2 linked regions of the Struthio camelus genome follow. The protein of the gene in region 2 purifies or fractionates together with the protein of the main gene of each other region. This does not show direct contact. Links are inferred from orthologs where the notes say so. Each region holds a gene or a part of one and is shown on either strand. Other genes may lie near its edges.

Evidence for each region. Proteins that work in one complex are often made in the same cells at the same time.
Region 1: the proteins of RNF139 (region 2) and INSIG1 purify together in Homo sapiens (affinity purification with western blotting, with the first as the bait; 3 studies listed by BioGRID). This does not show direct contact. The link is inferred for Struthio camelus from reciprocal best matches to the Homo sapiens genes RNF139 and INSIG1.

What each region holds. Positions count from the first base shown.
Region 1 is NC_090943.1:9,905,557-9,912,939, forward strand, and holds the start of INSIG1 (insulin-induced gene 1 protein), read left to right. Parts: upstream 1-4,378; coding exon 4,379-4,775; intron 4,776-6,664; coding exon 6,665-6,789; intron 6,790-7,383. UniProt on the Homo sapiens protein: Oxysterol-binding protein that mediates feedback control of cholesterol synthesis by controlling both endoplasmic reticulum to Golgi transport of SCAP and degradation of HMGCR.
Region 2 is NC_090943.1:160,678,991-160,686,261, forward strand, and holds the start of RNF139 (E3 ubiquitin-protein ligase RNF139), read left to right. Parts: upstream 1-4,268; 5' UTR 4,269-4,311; coding exon of another isoform or gene 4,312-4,320; 5' UTR 4,321-4,471; coding exon 4,472-4,652; intron 4,653-5,305; exon of another isoform or gene 5,306-7,271. UniProt on the Homo sapiens protein: E3-ubiquitin ligase; acts as a negative regulator of cell proliferation through mechanisms involving G2/M arrest and cell death.

The sequences.
Region 1 (7,383 bases), about 150 Mb from region 2:
CCATCACTGGCTTCTAAGATTGTATCAGCAACTAACTCATTTTTTTTGACCCAGTGTAAATAGGGAGAAAAATAAAATGTCTAAGTATCTCACCTAGTTCCCTGAGTAAGAGACCCATGAAATAGTCTGGGTGAGATAACATGTTGTCAGATTTCAAAATGTCACAGTTTAGTACAGAAAGCATGAAAAAGGTGAAATTATTTATGTAACGAGTAACGATGCTGAGAACTTACAGAAATCTGCTGTCTTTGCTGCTGAATGAGACAAAAATAACTGTCATTAATCCTACAAAGATACAGGAGCACTTCTCTCCAGAAATAACAGTAAAGTATAAAATTTCATGCACTAACCAAAGCATATGGAGGCCTACCCCTTTTTAGGATTCTACAAGGAAATGCAAAGCATTATGACCTTTAAAGCAACAAAAACATAAAGAAGTATTTAACCTTTATTGTAAGCAAAAAATTTCAGAAAACTACATATAAGGCCAAAGCAACAAAACCATAAAGAAGCATTTAACCTTTAAGCATAAAGCTTCACAAAAAAATGTTAGGGCCAATTTCTCAACTAGTACAGATTCATATTGCTTCTAGTGGTTTCAGTGAAGCTACAGCAAGTTATACCATCTCAGAAGTTGGTCTCTGCTATCTGAAATAAGCCTGGAAGAAAGCAGGGCACTACCACATGCTATTACAAATATGAAAAAAAAAAATCTAATAAGTAGTAAAAAGATGCTGCAAGAAGAAGCAAGAGAGATATACCCATAAGGAAAAAAAGACACACGATAAAAAAATGCTTAAGAAGCCGTTTCAGGAAAGAAAACTAGTAGACACAGCACGAGGGAACGTGAACTCTGCCCAGACACTAAGAGTTGGGGAAAAAAATTTTAATACAGAAATGTATCTTTTCAAATAAAGTAGAGATGTAGCACAAGCAAGGATGAATTGTATTTCTTTTCCAGAAGCCAACTCCAAAAAGACATTTCTTACGAAGATGGGTCATTTTATCTCCGATCTGCAGTCCTGTTGATAAATCTTAAAGTGATTCAACATGAAGGAAAATTTCCCAGGGAATGAGTTTGAGCCCTTATTTAGAGTTGCCTAAGGTATTGCTTAGCAGTCCAGGGACACAGATAAATTGCCTGTGTCAATTCAAACCTTGTACGCAGTTGCCACGAAGAGAAATGTAATGTCTGCATGTGATTTCCTGAAACAAATCAAATGTGTCTGCAGAGGAACTCATAAAATGCTGACAATATATTAAGAGTGCTTTCTCTGAAAATGGTTAACTTAAACAGACCCAATGCAGGCCCACTGAGTCAGAAAACAAAATGAAGAAATGAATGGTGTAATGCAAAGTGCAATACTGCATTGCAATGTCAGTAGCTCATGGAACTAAGACACAAAACTATTTGCATAGACATAAGAATGCTTAGTGAAGCAGGAAGAAGGAAATGGTATATTCTTTCAAGATGAAAAACGGAAACTCTATATTAATTGGCACAACAGCATTTTGTTGTCCTGAGACAAAGCTAGAATTCTGGTGTGTTACATTTCACTGTAACTAAACCAAACTGGCAGTGTTTATTCAGAAGATAACTCTTCAGTCAACGTCTTGATCAACAATATAATTGCTGTAGAAACAACTGAAGGAAAATGGGTGAGATTTTTGAAAGGATAGACTGAAAGTTACTACTAGTGATATTTTATTTTACTTGAAGTTAGAAGGAAAAAAAAACTGTACTATAAAAATAAATTGAATATGCAGTTAATATACCCAAAATTCAAATTATCAGAGACATCTGAACTAACTAAAAGACACTATAAGAACTATATAGCACATACACTTAGACAATACAACGTCTTAAAAATCTGACAGAAGACTGCAAACAATTTTAACATATCAGACTAAAACCTATAGCTTTTTTAACACTCGATCATACTATGGAGATAAGACACCAATAGAAACTCATCATTTATGACACCACATATACAGATATACATGTTATATGGCAGTCCAATGATAAGGTCAGCAAGGCAGAACTGGTCTGTTCCCAAGCTAGTCATTATTAAGAGCAAAATATTCAACTCCTCTGTCACTCCAAACAACGGCACTAACAATTCCTCCATCACAAAGCAGACAAATATTCAGCCCAAGGGCACATTGCTCTGTGCGTTCAGCTATCCTAACTCTTTACATGCTAGCTGGAACTGACCAAACGATGAGAATGGATAAACTTATCCTAGACGAATTTTGCTCTTTACCATATACAGCGGGCACACCTCTTTCCTTATGTTTTATCGACGTTTGTTCCATTTAACACAGCAATGAGACCCAACAGAGTTGAACTTGGATCATTATTCTGCCCTCACGGTCAAGGCTAGCAAGCGCATGAAGATGCTTAAATCCTCAGTGTTATCGCTCGGGAAGCCATTGGGTCTTACATCCTTTCACACTATAAATAGAGTGCATCTCCTGTGAAAAAGAAAGACCTGCTGGCTCCAGTGATGCTATCTAAATGAACCACAAATCCAGTTACTCTTCCTGCATCTAAGCGCTAGTTTCCAAAGTGTCCTGGAGAACCAGTATTTTAAACCAAAACTTAGCAGCTGAGTCCTGCTACCTAGACAACTTGTCGTGCTAAATTCTAACATATACGTAGCACACCCGTCCTATCAGTTTCCAGACCCCCGCAGAATTCAGTGGGCGAACTTGTATCTAACCGTATTTTAACGACGCTATGAGGCCGGGCGCATCATGACTCAGATTTCACCAGTGACGTAAACCGTTCAGGTTATCAGCGTGCAGGGGTAAAAGTCAAGAGCTCGAGACCAAATGGGCCCTCTCTCCAGCCGGCCTCTTTCGCAGCTATCTGGGTTCGGCATGATCCTCTTAACGCTGTGATTGTATGATCAAGCGAGCGAGGAACGCCGAGCGCTTGAACTTCTGGAGAAGCCTGGGCAGTCAGTCGCCTTCGACTTCCCCCCTTGACTAAACGCCATCGCCCGAGGCGATCACCCATCCTGGCGAGCCTGGCAAGCCCCTGAGGGCCAGGCTGCCGAGGCCGCCGCCCCTGCTCCATTCGCACCGGCTGCGGTAGGCGGCAAGGTGACCCTCGTCGTCGTGGCGCCCCTTCCCCTTTCCCTCTTCCCCCCCCTCCCGCCGGCGAGCCGTTACAAACGGCCGGCGCGCTCCGTTGGCGCCGACCGTTGAGGGCGTGGCGCACGTGCGTCCGCCCCCTCCCCCGCCCCGAAGCGGCGCGCGCCACGCGCCACGCGCGCGTCCTCCTCCGCCGCCGCCGCCCCGCCCGCTATTGGCCGCACCGTCAGCTGGCGGCGGTGGCAGCGAGGGGCGGGGGGGGGGGGTGGTTGGTGCGCAGACAGCGAGAGAGAGGAAGGCGGGTGGTGTGTCCTCGACGTCATATCAGCCGCCCGGCTCTGATTGGCTGTCGCGCCTCACCCGACCGGGGGCCGGAGCCCGGGCTGGCGTGGCGGCTCCCGCGCTCTGCCCCTGCCCCTCCCCCGCCGCCGCCGCCCCGCCCGCCCAGCCCGGCCCGGCCCGGCCCGGCCCGGCCGAGGGGAGGGGGTGGCGGAGCAGCGGGGCCGTCTCTGCCTCTGGCTGTGGGTAGGTCGGCGGCGGATAACGTGACACCCGGGGCCGGAGGCTTATAAACCTTAGGCCGGGAGCGGGCCGGGGCCAGCGAGCCGAGAGCGCGGGGCGGGAGGGCGAGGGAGGCGGCAGGAGCGGCGGCCGTTCACCCTCCGCCCTTCTCCCCGCTGACGGAGCGGCCCCCTGAAGCGAGGCGAGGTGAGGCCCGGCCGCGGGTGCCCGCGGGACCCGCTCCTTGGGCAGGGACAGCGGCGGGAAGGCGGTGGGGTTGGGGGGAGGATGGTTTTACGCCTCGGAATTGGGGAAACCGCTTCCATTCCCCTCAGGAGAAAGGGGGCTGGGCGAGTCTGGCCGGGATCCTGGCCGGAGGGGGGGGGGGATGCTCCTGGAGGTCCCTGCGGTTGTGTGTTCACCCCGGTTATCTGGACAGCGGTTCCCCCCCTCCTCGGAGAAGCGGGGGTGCCAGGGGCAGCCCCGGCCTGCGCGGCCCCGGAGCCCGCAGCAGCTCTGCTGTGTCCGCTCGCACCGCTTCCGCCCGCATCTTACTTTCCTGTTCAGCACCTCCCTCCGCGGCCGTCTGTCGGGCTTGTAAGGCTGTTTGCCCGGTGCCTTTAAAGCTTCCACGTGGCTAGTGTTGTAGAAGTGCGTGTTGTTTTGTTTCTGGTCTGTACGTCAGCACTGTATAACGGCTTGGGCTTGAACCGCCCCGTCGTTTTGGAGTCGTAACAGGCTGTCGCTGTGCGTGTGTTTCAGGACCCGGGTGAAGCCAATGCCCAGGTTAGAGAACTGCACCTGGAGCTGTTCCTGCGCTGCCAGGGGAAGGCATAAAAACCACCTGGGGGACACTGCTGCTGGGCTGGCCGCCAAGGTGGGCGAGATGCTGAGCTCCTCTGTCTCAAACTCCTCGCTGGCTTTGGTGGGTCATGGAGCACGGAGCCCCAGCACCTCCAGTGTCAGCAGTAATTCCAGTAGCAGCAGTAGCACCTTGAACTTGAGTCAACACCTTGTGCAGAGGAGTGTGGTCCTCTTTGTTGTTGGTGCTTTCATGGCATTGGTGCTGAACTTGCTGCAGATCCAGAGAAATGTGACTCTATTCCCTGAAGAAGTCATTTCCACGATCTTCCCCTCTGCCTGGTGGGTGCCCCCTTGCTGTGGGACGGCTGCAGGTGAGTCCCTTTCGTGACCGGTTTTCCTTCCCCTCCTGTGGGAAGGCAAGGCAGCAGCGCTGAATGTTTGGCCTGTGTGTGTTGGAGCGTTGCGCTTACAGCATTTGGTGTGTAGAATGTAAGTGATGTAAATTCTGGTTTTTTTGGACCTAGATTGATTCCAGCTTTATCCAGGAACCAACACACCTTTTATACTTGTCTGCACGTTTTCTGATCTTAGTTGAGTTCAGTAATACACCTGAAGCGCATCTCTTTTTTGGGGAAGTGCGCTGTAATTTTGAAGCATGAAGCAGCACGTGTACCCCCACCCAGTAATGCGGGGCCAGCAGAAGGCGTGTATGTAAACCTCGGCCTGCTGCAAAAAAAGGCGGCGGCTGTGCGCCCTCCGCCGCAGCCCCGGCTCCCTCTCCCCCGCCGCCACCGCCGGGCCCGGCCGGGCCGCTCGGAGCCGGCGCAGCGGCCGCGGTGCGCGTCACCTCTACTCGCGCTCTGATTGGCTCCCACCGGAACTGGTGAGTCGCCGCGGGCTCTCCCCATTGGCTGGCGCGGCCAACATGCCACGGGCCGAAAACAAGGAAGTCACGTGCGGTGGCGGGCTGGGAGCAGTGCGGGGGCGCTGGGTCCCGCGCCCCCCCCCCCCCTCCGCGGGGCACCGCCGCTGCCAGCGCCCGCGGGTGCACGCAGAGCCACGGCGCAAAACACCCGGTGGAAATGAGAGGCCTTTGTGTGCTGTAATCGAAACAGCAGCGGGCGTTTATCTGATTGACTAGTGTTAAAATCAGAATCCTGATTTTTATCAAACGTCTCGTATGCATGTACTACTTTAGCGAAGGGTTAAGGGAATAAATATGTCAGTGGCAGTGCAAGTATTGTCTTGTGCTGCTTGTAGTAAGAAAGTGGAAATGAATAATCTTTTGCTAAAAGGAATGATAACTCATGTAGTGAAAAGAGATTGCCGTAAAATGGGCTCTAGTGAGAGTTCCAATGATCCTGTTCCAACAGGAGTAAAACTTTGTCATTTAGTTGTTACCGTAAGGTAAAAATCCTGCTCGACAATCCTGGCAACTGGCATGAGAAAATGAAAACTCCTCGTAATCCAGTCACTTGTACTTTTTCATAGAATGATGTGTCTTGTAGTGTTCTTCACATAAAATCGTTCCTTTTAGAAGTTAAGGGAAAAAATAGGGTAAGGAAACAAGCAAATATACTATAGTTAAAGTAGCATGTCTAAACCTGGGGCTTGTGACCTTGTAAGGAATTGCAAGCCTTAGAAGAGTAAAACTCACCTAGTGTTTGTGCTAGTAGCAAGATCATGCTAACCTTTTTTTCTTATAACCTTGTTTGCAGACTGAGAAAATGCTCTGTTAGGGCAAAACTTCCTCTGCTTAATAATGAGTAATTTTTTTTCACTGGCATGAATGACTGCTAGCAGTCACTTCCTTAAATTCTGTCCAGCCTCTATTTGATATCAAAACGCAGTTGATTTGAAGAGGTTAGCCTCATGATCCTGTAGAAGGAAAGAAAGCAACTCCTGCCAAGAAACTTTTAAGTCCAGCAAACGTTACTTCAGGGACTGGTTGACAGCTAATGAATCAAGTTTGTAAAACTTGCTGTTCTGCACATGTACCTTAATCTTGCAGCATAACTGTTTTACAGGTTCAAGAAGAATGTTACTTTAAAACGTCTTTTTCCAAAAAAAAAAAAAAGGGAGGGGGGGTGTTTGGGGAGGGTGTTAATAACTGACTTCATCTGCCTTACAGTAGCATGATGGGCTCTTGACTACTTAGGTGGCTTTGTCAATCACTTATTTGCCAAGCTAATATTTAGCAGCATTGGAATGATCATTGTGTAATGGCTAATACTAGTACTCTTAATTGATTCCGTTGCAGCTGTTGTTGGCCTGCTGTATCCCTGCATTGACAGCCACCTTGGAGAACCGCACAAGTTCAAGAGAGAGTGGGCCAGTGTAATGCGATGCATAGCAGTTTTCGTTGGTATTAATCATGCAAGTGCTGTATCCTTGAACGCATTTATACTGTTAGTTGCTGTGCTTAGTGTTTCATTGTCATGAAACAGTCTCTTCCATCTATGTTTTGGGGTCTTACAAAGGTAAGGATGGTGCTACTGGCCGAGACATAGAGGGACATAAAGTATTGTGTTGGAAGTTTTACAGAAGTTTGAGAGCACCATAGTCCATTTAATAATTAGATTTTGGGTTGGGGGAGGAGTAGGCAGGAGTAGGCATGCTATAATATCCGATACAACTGTGAGTGTAACAGTGTAATTTGTGTTATTAGGTGTAGACAGCACACAGATTAAAAAACTGAATATATTAACAAGAGAGATGCACTCAGCTGTTGTGTAAAAGTGTTGGTTTTGTGTTGAATAGTAATGATTTGAGCAGAAAACCTAAATCAGCAGGTTACCTGGGACAAAAATCCGTGAGAGTTAAATATAATAGCGTATAGTATAGGTAGCGAAAGGCTACTCAGTGTGAGAAGAATTGATGTTGTCTTTGCACTCACACTCCAGATAAAGTCAGCAAGAGCAGCGATGGCTCAGCAGGCCTGAAAACCAGATCCTAAGCGTATCGCATTGAGATATACAA
Region 2 (7,271 bases):
TGCAGAACAACAGGTTCAGCTTTAGGAAAGTATCTATCTGCTGTTGATATTTCGATCTTATCAGTAGCACACATCTTTACAAGCCTGTGAACACTGAATTCACACAAGCAGAACTGATGACATAAGCTGTCCTCTACAGGTGGTTATGAGCTAATTTTACCAAGACACAGCTGGGTGTCACCCACACACTGAATCCAGCAAAGCTTACATTAATAAAGCACTGACACTTGGCTTTTTTAAAAAAATCATGCACATGAATCTCTCTTATGCTAGAATATCATCCTAGGCATAGAAATTATTGTTGTCCGCTTTAGGTTCCTTGCACGATGCTTGTTTTTTTGGTTCGGTCCAGGATACAGATGGCCTTATTCATTTTAATTAAAAACTGCTGTGAAAAAAGGAATGACATACTATACAGAGCTTTCTTCTTACACTTCAGATAGTTCATTGCAAAAGAAATTTGGGAAGGAGAAATAAAATTTGGGAAAAGTTAATGGGTTGTTACATTCATGGCAAATGAAAACTTGTGATTTTTGACACGCACATTTTGAACTGAGCTTTTCTTAGCATCCAACTATTACAGTTCTTGCAAAACTTACTATCTTTGCATCAGGCTAAGTGTATGTGTCGTGGAAAAGACACTGGATATATTTAAAGCTTCGCAGGTCATGTAGCTAGAAACAGCAACAGTATTCTAAGACCTTCCCTGCATTGTTGTCCTCTTTCCTTAAAAAATATGCTTTTTGCAAGACCATGTGATTTTGCAATATCTGATGTAAGCATTGGCTTTAATTCAGTAAAGTTGTTGCCGTGAAGGGCTCGTGAGAAGGCTTAAGCGAGAGGAGGAGTTTTAACAGCTCAAAAGTTGTTTTGCCAAGGAGCAGCTGTAGATGTGGCCAACACATACGGACACAGACCCCAAACATTCCTTTGGCAGACAGGTATAAAAAGGATGCATTTCTACCATTCCATAGGATAACAAGGGTTATTTCAGTATGTTATTAAACTAGCTGTAATTCAAAGAGGTTAATCAGAGGCTGCACTTGATAATCTGTATTTATGCAGTTCATCTTGCTCCAAATATCTCAAATTCGGGATTTTTAATAGCTTTTGAAAAACTGTATTTTGACCACTCTGAGCTGTGAGAAAACACATAAATCATTTTAAATAACAGAGAATAAAAGCCCAACCTTCTGCTACACGCTGTAGAAAACATCAAACAATTACAGTGACTTTTATTCATTATTCAAATAAATTGATCGGGAATTTTACGACTCCTTGCCTGCAAAAAGAGGTGTATTTAGTTCTTCAGAAAGCACTTTCTAGGTTTACGTTCTTATGCATTATCAAGTAAACAATCACGTTCTTTTGTGCTATCTTGTCAAGGGATTTAGGCTTGACACTTGACACTTTGTAAAAGTCAGGTACGTGCAGCCACAAGTGACATGTGGAGCAAGCTTCACTTTGGAGTTCAGAACCCTTTGCCCCTGAGAATTTATCTATATAGACAAATAAAGGAATTTTATGCCTAAATTATACGTTAGCTTATCAACAAGAAATTGCATAAGTCCCCAACCGTATAAGAACACTTTTTTTTCCTAGGAGTATTAATATGAATTTACACAGAATAGGATCTAACCTTATAATATACATTAGAAAGAATTTGAGACTGGATTTAACCCCCCCCAAAAAAAAAATTGACAAATTTTCTTGGATGTGTATATATAATTGAAGTGAATTTAATAGTTATGCTTGTGTAACAACGTTGGATTTGGTTCATTATTGCACATTTAAAGCTTTCAGTAGCGCAAACTGCAAAATTACAAGTACCCAGCAGGTGTCACCTTCATTCATATTGTATATATGATAATCAAGTTTAGAATTTTTTTATTTAGAATTTAAATTCACAGCAGGAGTCTTAAACACTGGAACATGTTTTCAGAAGAGCATGTAAAACGTATGAATTTGATCTGATACACTTTAGTAACACTAGGATTTCTGAAACACTTGTAATCTGGAAATGTTTATGCACCAAATAATTTACACATAGCCAGGACTGTACTTACACGCCTCAATAACATGTGTAAGATATGCCTGTAAATGCACATATTTAAACCTGAAAATCCATTTAACGGATTCGATTTAATTCGTATGTCCTTAACGCCGTATAAATATATACTACAACATTGCCTTTGATTCTGAGGCCTGTATTGCAAAAATAGATGCAAGCTCCTCTTTACTCACGGAGATCTTAAGCGAGGTTGGAAGTGCTGCAGGAGGGCACGTAATTCCACTTCCGCAGACAAGTGCTTTAAGTTGCTGACTTTTTGAAACTGCACCTCACAGAAATGAATTTTCATATGGATTATGCTGAATTATCAAGCAAACATCACAGATCCACTTGATTTACATTGCTTTTCAACGCAAATCAAATGTTTTTATTAATATTTAGCAGCTTTATACTTAGCTAAGGTGTAAATTTACTCAGGAAAGGTTGAATCACTGTGATTCAGCCACCTTCAAGCAGAAGCAACATAAAGAAACATGCACTCTGCATTTTAAACCTCTAACCTCCAACTACTATTTGGCATTGGGATAGTTACTAGGTCAGAGTCATGCCTTTTAGATAGTGATTAAAAAATGCACTTTGTCCATGTAGCTGGATTTTGTAATACGATCCTGTAGCAATTTGGTAACGTCTCTGGTTTTGTTAGTGTGGCGCACTGCTTAGAAAAGTGCATGCGCCACACGGCTGGGCCTGATTCAAAATCCTTTGAAAATAATAGAAAGACTTCTAAGGGCTTAAGCCATGAGGCAGTCAGACGTGTGAAAAGGCCGAGCTATGACAGGTGAAGGTAAAAGTAGACATTTGCAACAAATCACACGGCGGCAGACGCCAAAAAGCATACAAGCCGATTTCAATTGCCGTCTGAAAACTGCTTTTAATTCACAAAACTCATTGGAAAATGCCACTTTTTTTTCCCCAAAGGGATTAATATTGATTACACATTTGCACTTACATTACTTTTTTTTTATTAAATTTATTTAAATCAAGTCAGCTTGAGGCTTCCGAAAGTTAAGGTACGGTATAAGCTGTACTTCCGTGAGGATGCATGGGGAAGGAGACACGGTTTCAAAGAAAAATGCCTTTTTTTCCATATGATCTAGATATATGCTTATGCTTAGAATAAGACAGGGCTTTGTATCACATGTGAAAAAACAGGAAATTCTACGTAATCATTCCCTAATTAAAAGATCTTTATTTTTTCCAAGGTGAATTACTCACTTAAAAGCCAGGAAACGATTACGTTAAGGCTGACTACACCTAAACATTGGCAAGAAGGCGAAAACGCAGACGCGGGGAAATTTTACAAAGAAAGACGGTGCGCGCAAAGGCTTAGAGAGCAAATTACAGATTTCTGTCGCGAAAACAAAAATTGCCGGCTTGCTGCAGACGTCAGGCCGGCAGGACTGTGTCTCAGGCAGCCTGCTCGGGGGCTGGCAGAGGTTCACGGCCACCACAGCACCAACACGTGTTCTTGTTTGAAAAGGTTTCTTTGTTTTGAAGCAGTGTTTTCGCAAATGCGAGGAATGAATCCTGGCTCGTCCTCCACGTGACGACACGTGCTGTGTTTTGCGCAGGGACAGAGTGTTTTCTGGGGGGTCGGCAACCGGGAGAGCGGAGCCGGGCTGGCGCTGGCCTCGCAGGGCGCTAGGCGTCCACGCCGCCTGTACCTGAAACGCTGCCCAGACGACGCGGGTGCGTCTGAAACGGCCGTGCAGCGCCCGAGGGCAGACACCCTGCGGTGGGACGTGCGCAGAGCGGCTCCCTCGGGAGGCGGGTAGGAAGCGGAAGGGACAGGGAGAGCTTTGACGTCTGCCACCCGGGGATTAGCAGCGTGAACGCTTTTAGGATCGAGGCTGGGGCAGCGTTCAGAGCGGCAAGAGAGCAGCTGCCGAGGGCTCCCCTGTGGGAGCGGGGTTTACCCGAGCGGCAGGCCTGCGGCCAGCTCAGGCCGCCGGAGGGAGCGCGCGGAGCGGGCGGCCGCCAGCCGCGGGAGCTCCCTGACGGGGCGCACGCGGCGGCGGTTGCGGCGGCGGTTGCGGCGGCCGCGCGGGAAGGGACGGGGGAGGGGGGGAGGGGGGGGGGAGCGAACGCAGCGCCCACCGCCCCCTCCCGCCCGCGTGGAAGCCGGGGGCGGGGCCGCGCTTTGTGACGCGCGGGCGCGCGCGGCCCCGCCCTTCTCCCCCGCCCCGCCCCGCCCCCCGGCCCGGCTCGGGCCGAACCTGCTGAGGGAGCGGAGAGGGAAGATGGAGGCGGCGGCGCTGCGGGGGGCCTGGCCGGGCCGAGCGGCGGGAGCGAGGCGGTAGCGGCTCCGCCGGGTTTTCCCTTCCCCAGGCGCCGCTTGTGAAAGGCGGGAGGCGCAAGCCGCCTTCCCCCCCCCCCCTCCTCCCCGCCCCGCGCAAGGGGATGGCGGCGCCGGGCCCTCCGCAGCTGCCGTGGCTGCGGCTGGGCCCGCGGCTGCGGGCCGGGCTGGAGGTCGCGCTGCGGGTGCCCAGCCTGTTCCTCATCGACGCCATCTTCAACTCGTCCCCGCTGCCGGGGGGCTCCTTGAGCGCCGCGTTGCTGGGCGTGCTGCTGCGGCTGCTGGGTGAGCGACCTTCCCGTCCGGCGCCCGGGCGGCCCCCGCCGCCTCGCCTCCGGCCTTCCTGCCCGGCCCGGGCCGGTGCTGCTCCCCCCCCCCCCCCCCCCCCGTCACGGGGAGCCCGCGGGGCCGCTGCCGCCCCCCCCCCACCCCCCGCCGCTGGCCTTGTTTACGGCTGCAGGCAGGGGGTGGGCGCTGCTGCTGCTCTCTTCCGCTCCCTTTCCCGAGCGTCTTTTTTTTTTTTTATTATTACTTATTTATTTATCCCTGCTGTTACGGCCTGTCTCTCTCCTTCCCCCCCCCCCCCCCCTTTCCCCTATCTCTGACCCCCTTCTGGCTGTTTCCTTTCTGCTACTCTAGGCTCCCCCCCCCCCCCCCCCCCAGCCCCCTGCTCACTCGCTCCTCCTGGTGTGCTGCTCTGGTAGCTCATCTTCCCGCCCTCCCGTCGGGAGCCGGAGTGCTTGTTCTCCTCCTTTGCAGCCCTTGGCTGTCCCCTCCCCGGCGCCATGGCGGGGACCTGCTGGGCGCCCCCGGCTGTCCGCCCGGCCCGCTCCGGTGCCGTCCTTTCGTGCCTCCTGAGCGAGTTAACCCAGGGGAACTGCTCGAGCTGGCTGGGACGGCTCCCACGTACCGCCGTGATGCTGGTGGGCGGCCGAGGGGTGCCAGGGCGGCCGAAGTAGCGGACCCGAATCGGGTTTGGCGATGTTTAATGGAGCGGGATGGGTTTTGTGCCATGTGGCAGCTTTGCGTTGCTGTGACTTGCCGCTTCTCTACTGCGAGCGGAGGGGGTGGTGGCTGTAGTCTGGAGGTTTCCACCGTGCCTGTGGAAACCTTGTGACATCGTGATTGTAGACGTTAAAAAAAAAAAAAAAGCACTTGGATAGTGTGGTGTCTTCCCGAAATACGCTGCTGAAGCCCTTATTTTAGGAATGGCAGTTCAAAAACGCTCGAAACTTGAATCCCAAGTGGAATAGAACTGGAGGGGTCTCTTAAAACTGGATATTTTTGAACTTTTTTTTTTTTCTAATCCTGGGATGAAGGCTGAAAGTCGTTTGTATAAATCACTATGTGCTACTATTCTCAGTGTTACATACAGTGTAATGAGAGGTTCTTTATGCAACCCAAGCAAGGTTGGGTTCATTGGATTATAAACGACATTGCGTTAACAGCTAAACAAGTCGTGGTGAATTATACTGGAATCCTGAGTCAGGAAGGAAAGCAGAGGAACATGAAATACAGCTAGGATTTTTGCAGGCCCCTGATGTGTTGACGTTTTGTTGGATTTTATGAAAAATTATGATACTATGAAAAATCTGATATTATGGGAAGATTAGGAATGCAAGAAGGGAGGTGAACAGGAAAGAAGATGCACAGCGAGAAGTGCAGGGGTGACAGTACTGCAGTAGCTGGAGAGCAGAGGGGAAGAAGTGAAGGATAATCTGTAGTAAGATAGCAGATAACAGGAGAGTGAGGCAAGAAAATAACAAAGCAGGTAGTTCAGGTGTGCGCTTTCTTCTTTGGTAAAGGATGTCTGGGAAAGTTGCTGTCCTTATGAGAAGCGTAGGCCTGGAAGATTCTGACTTAGCTACTTTGTCATGTATTGCAGCTGGTACTGTTGGCTTCGTGACAGCGAAGAGGGAATTCTTCCTCTCTGTTTCCCATTTTCTAGTACTTTTGTTTTATACGTCTAGAGCTGTGAAGAATGCTTCTTGGTGATCAAAATATTCCTTTCTAAGGAAATGGACATTGCAGTGCCTTACTGAAATCATTTTCAGAGTCCCTTGTTGTATGATCCAGATGCTGTAGAAAGGGCCTTGAAATTAATCCCACATAAATTAGAATGGTGGATTTGTTATTGGATGATGTCTCTTAAGTGTATGATAATGGGATTAGATGATTAAGAAGTTCTTCAGGATTGTGTTTATGTGCTCACTTTTAATGCTAAATGGAGTTTTTTTTTTAAAGTTGCCTGCACAGTTCTCCAGCCCCCCCCCCCCCCACCCCATCACTTTCTATGTATGTAACTTCATTGGGTTATAAACAGCAACAAAATAAGTTCTAAAACTGTAACACAATTTTTTTCTCTCTAATGTTTTGATTAACTTTGCTTTACGTCTCCTACATGATGTTTACCTTTCATATCTTTGACTGCAGATTTTGTAAGTGATTACAGGAGAAGCACCACCTCAGAAATATAGAACAGTTGCATCAGAAAACAGTCCCTCCTCAGTGAGGACACTGATTTTCTGACAGAGTCACTATAAATACTGTACTTTACGGAAGGATGCAGAAACAAGCAGAATGTCTGGGGCTAGGAAGAAGAGTTATTTGGCAGTTCCACATAATTAAAATATTATCATGTAAAGGTAGTTATGCCCTGCAATTGACTGAAAAGAGAATTCTAGATAGTGTGCTACTGTAAGGATATTGGCAAATGGCAGGAGTTGAGGGAAAAAACATGAGAGAGAGAGATTCATTGTAATATAAGAAATATGTGTGGCTTGATTAAGTGCTCCTTTTGGAGGCGATACTAGATAAATGGTGATGGAATAATACAGATAGGAGTAGTAAGTTGCACAGGAAAAAGCAGTATATACGGAAACATGAAAAAAATCTTAGAGATAC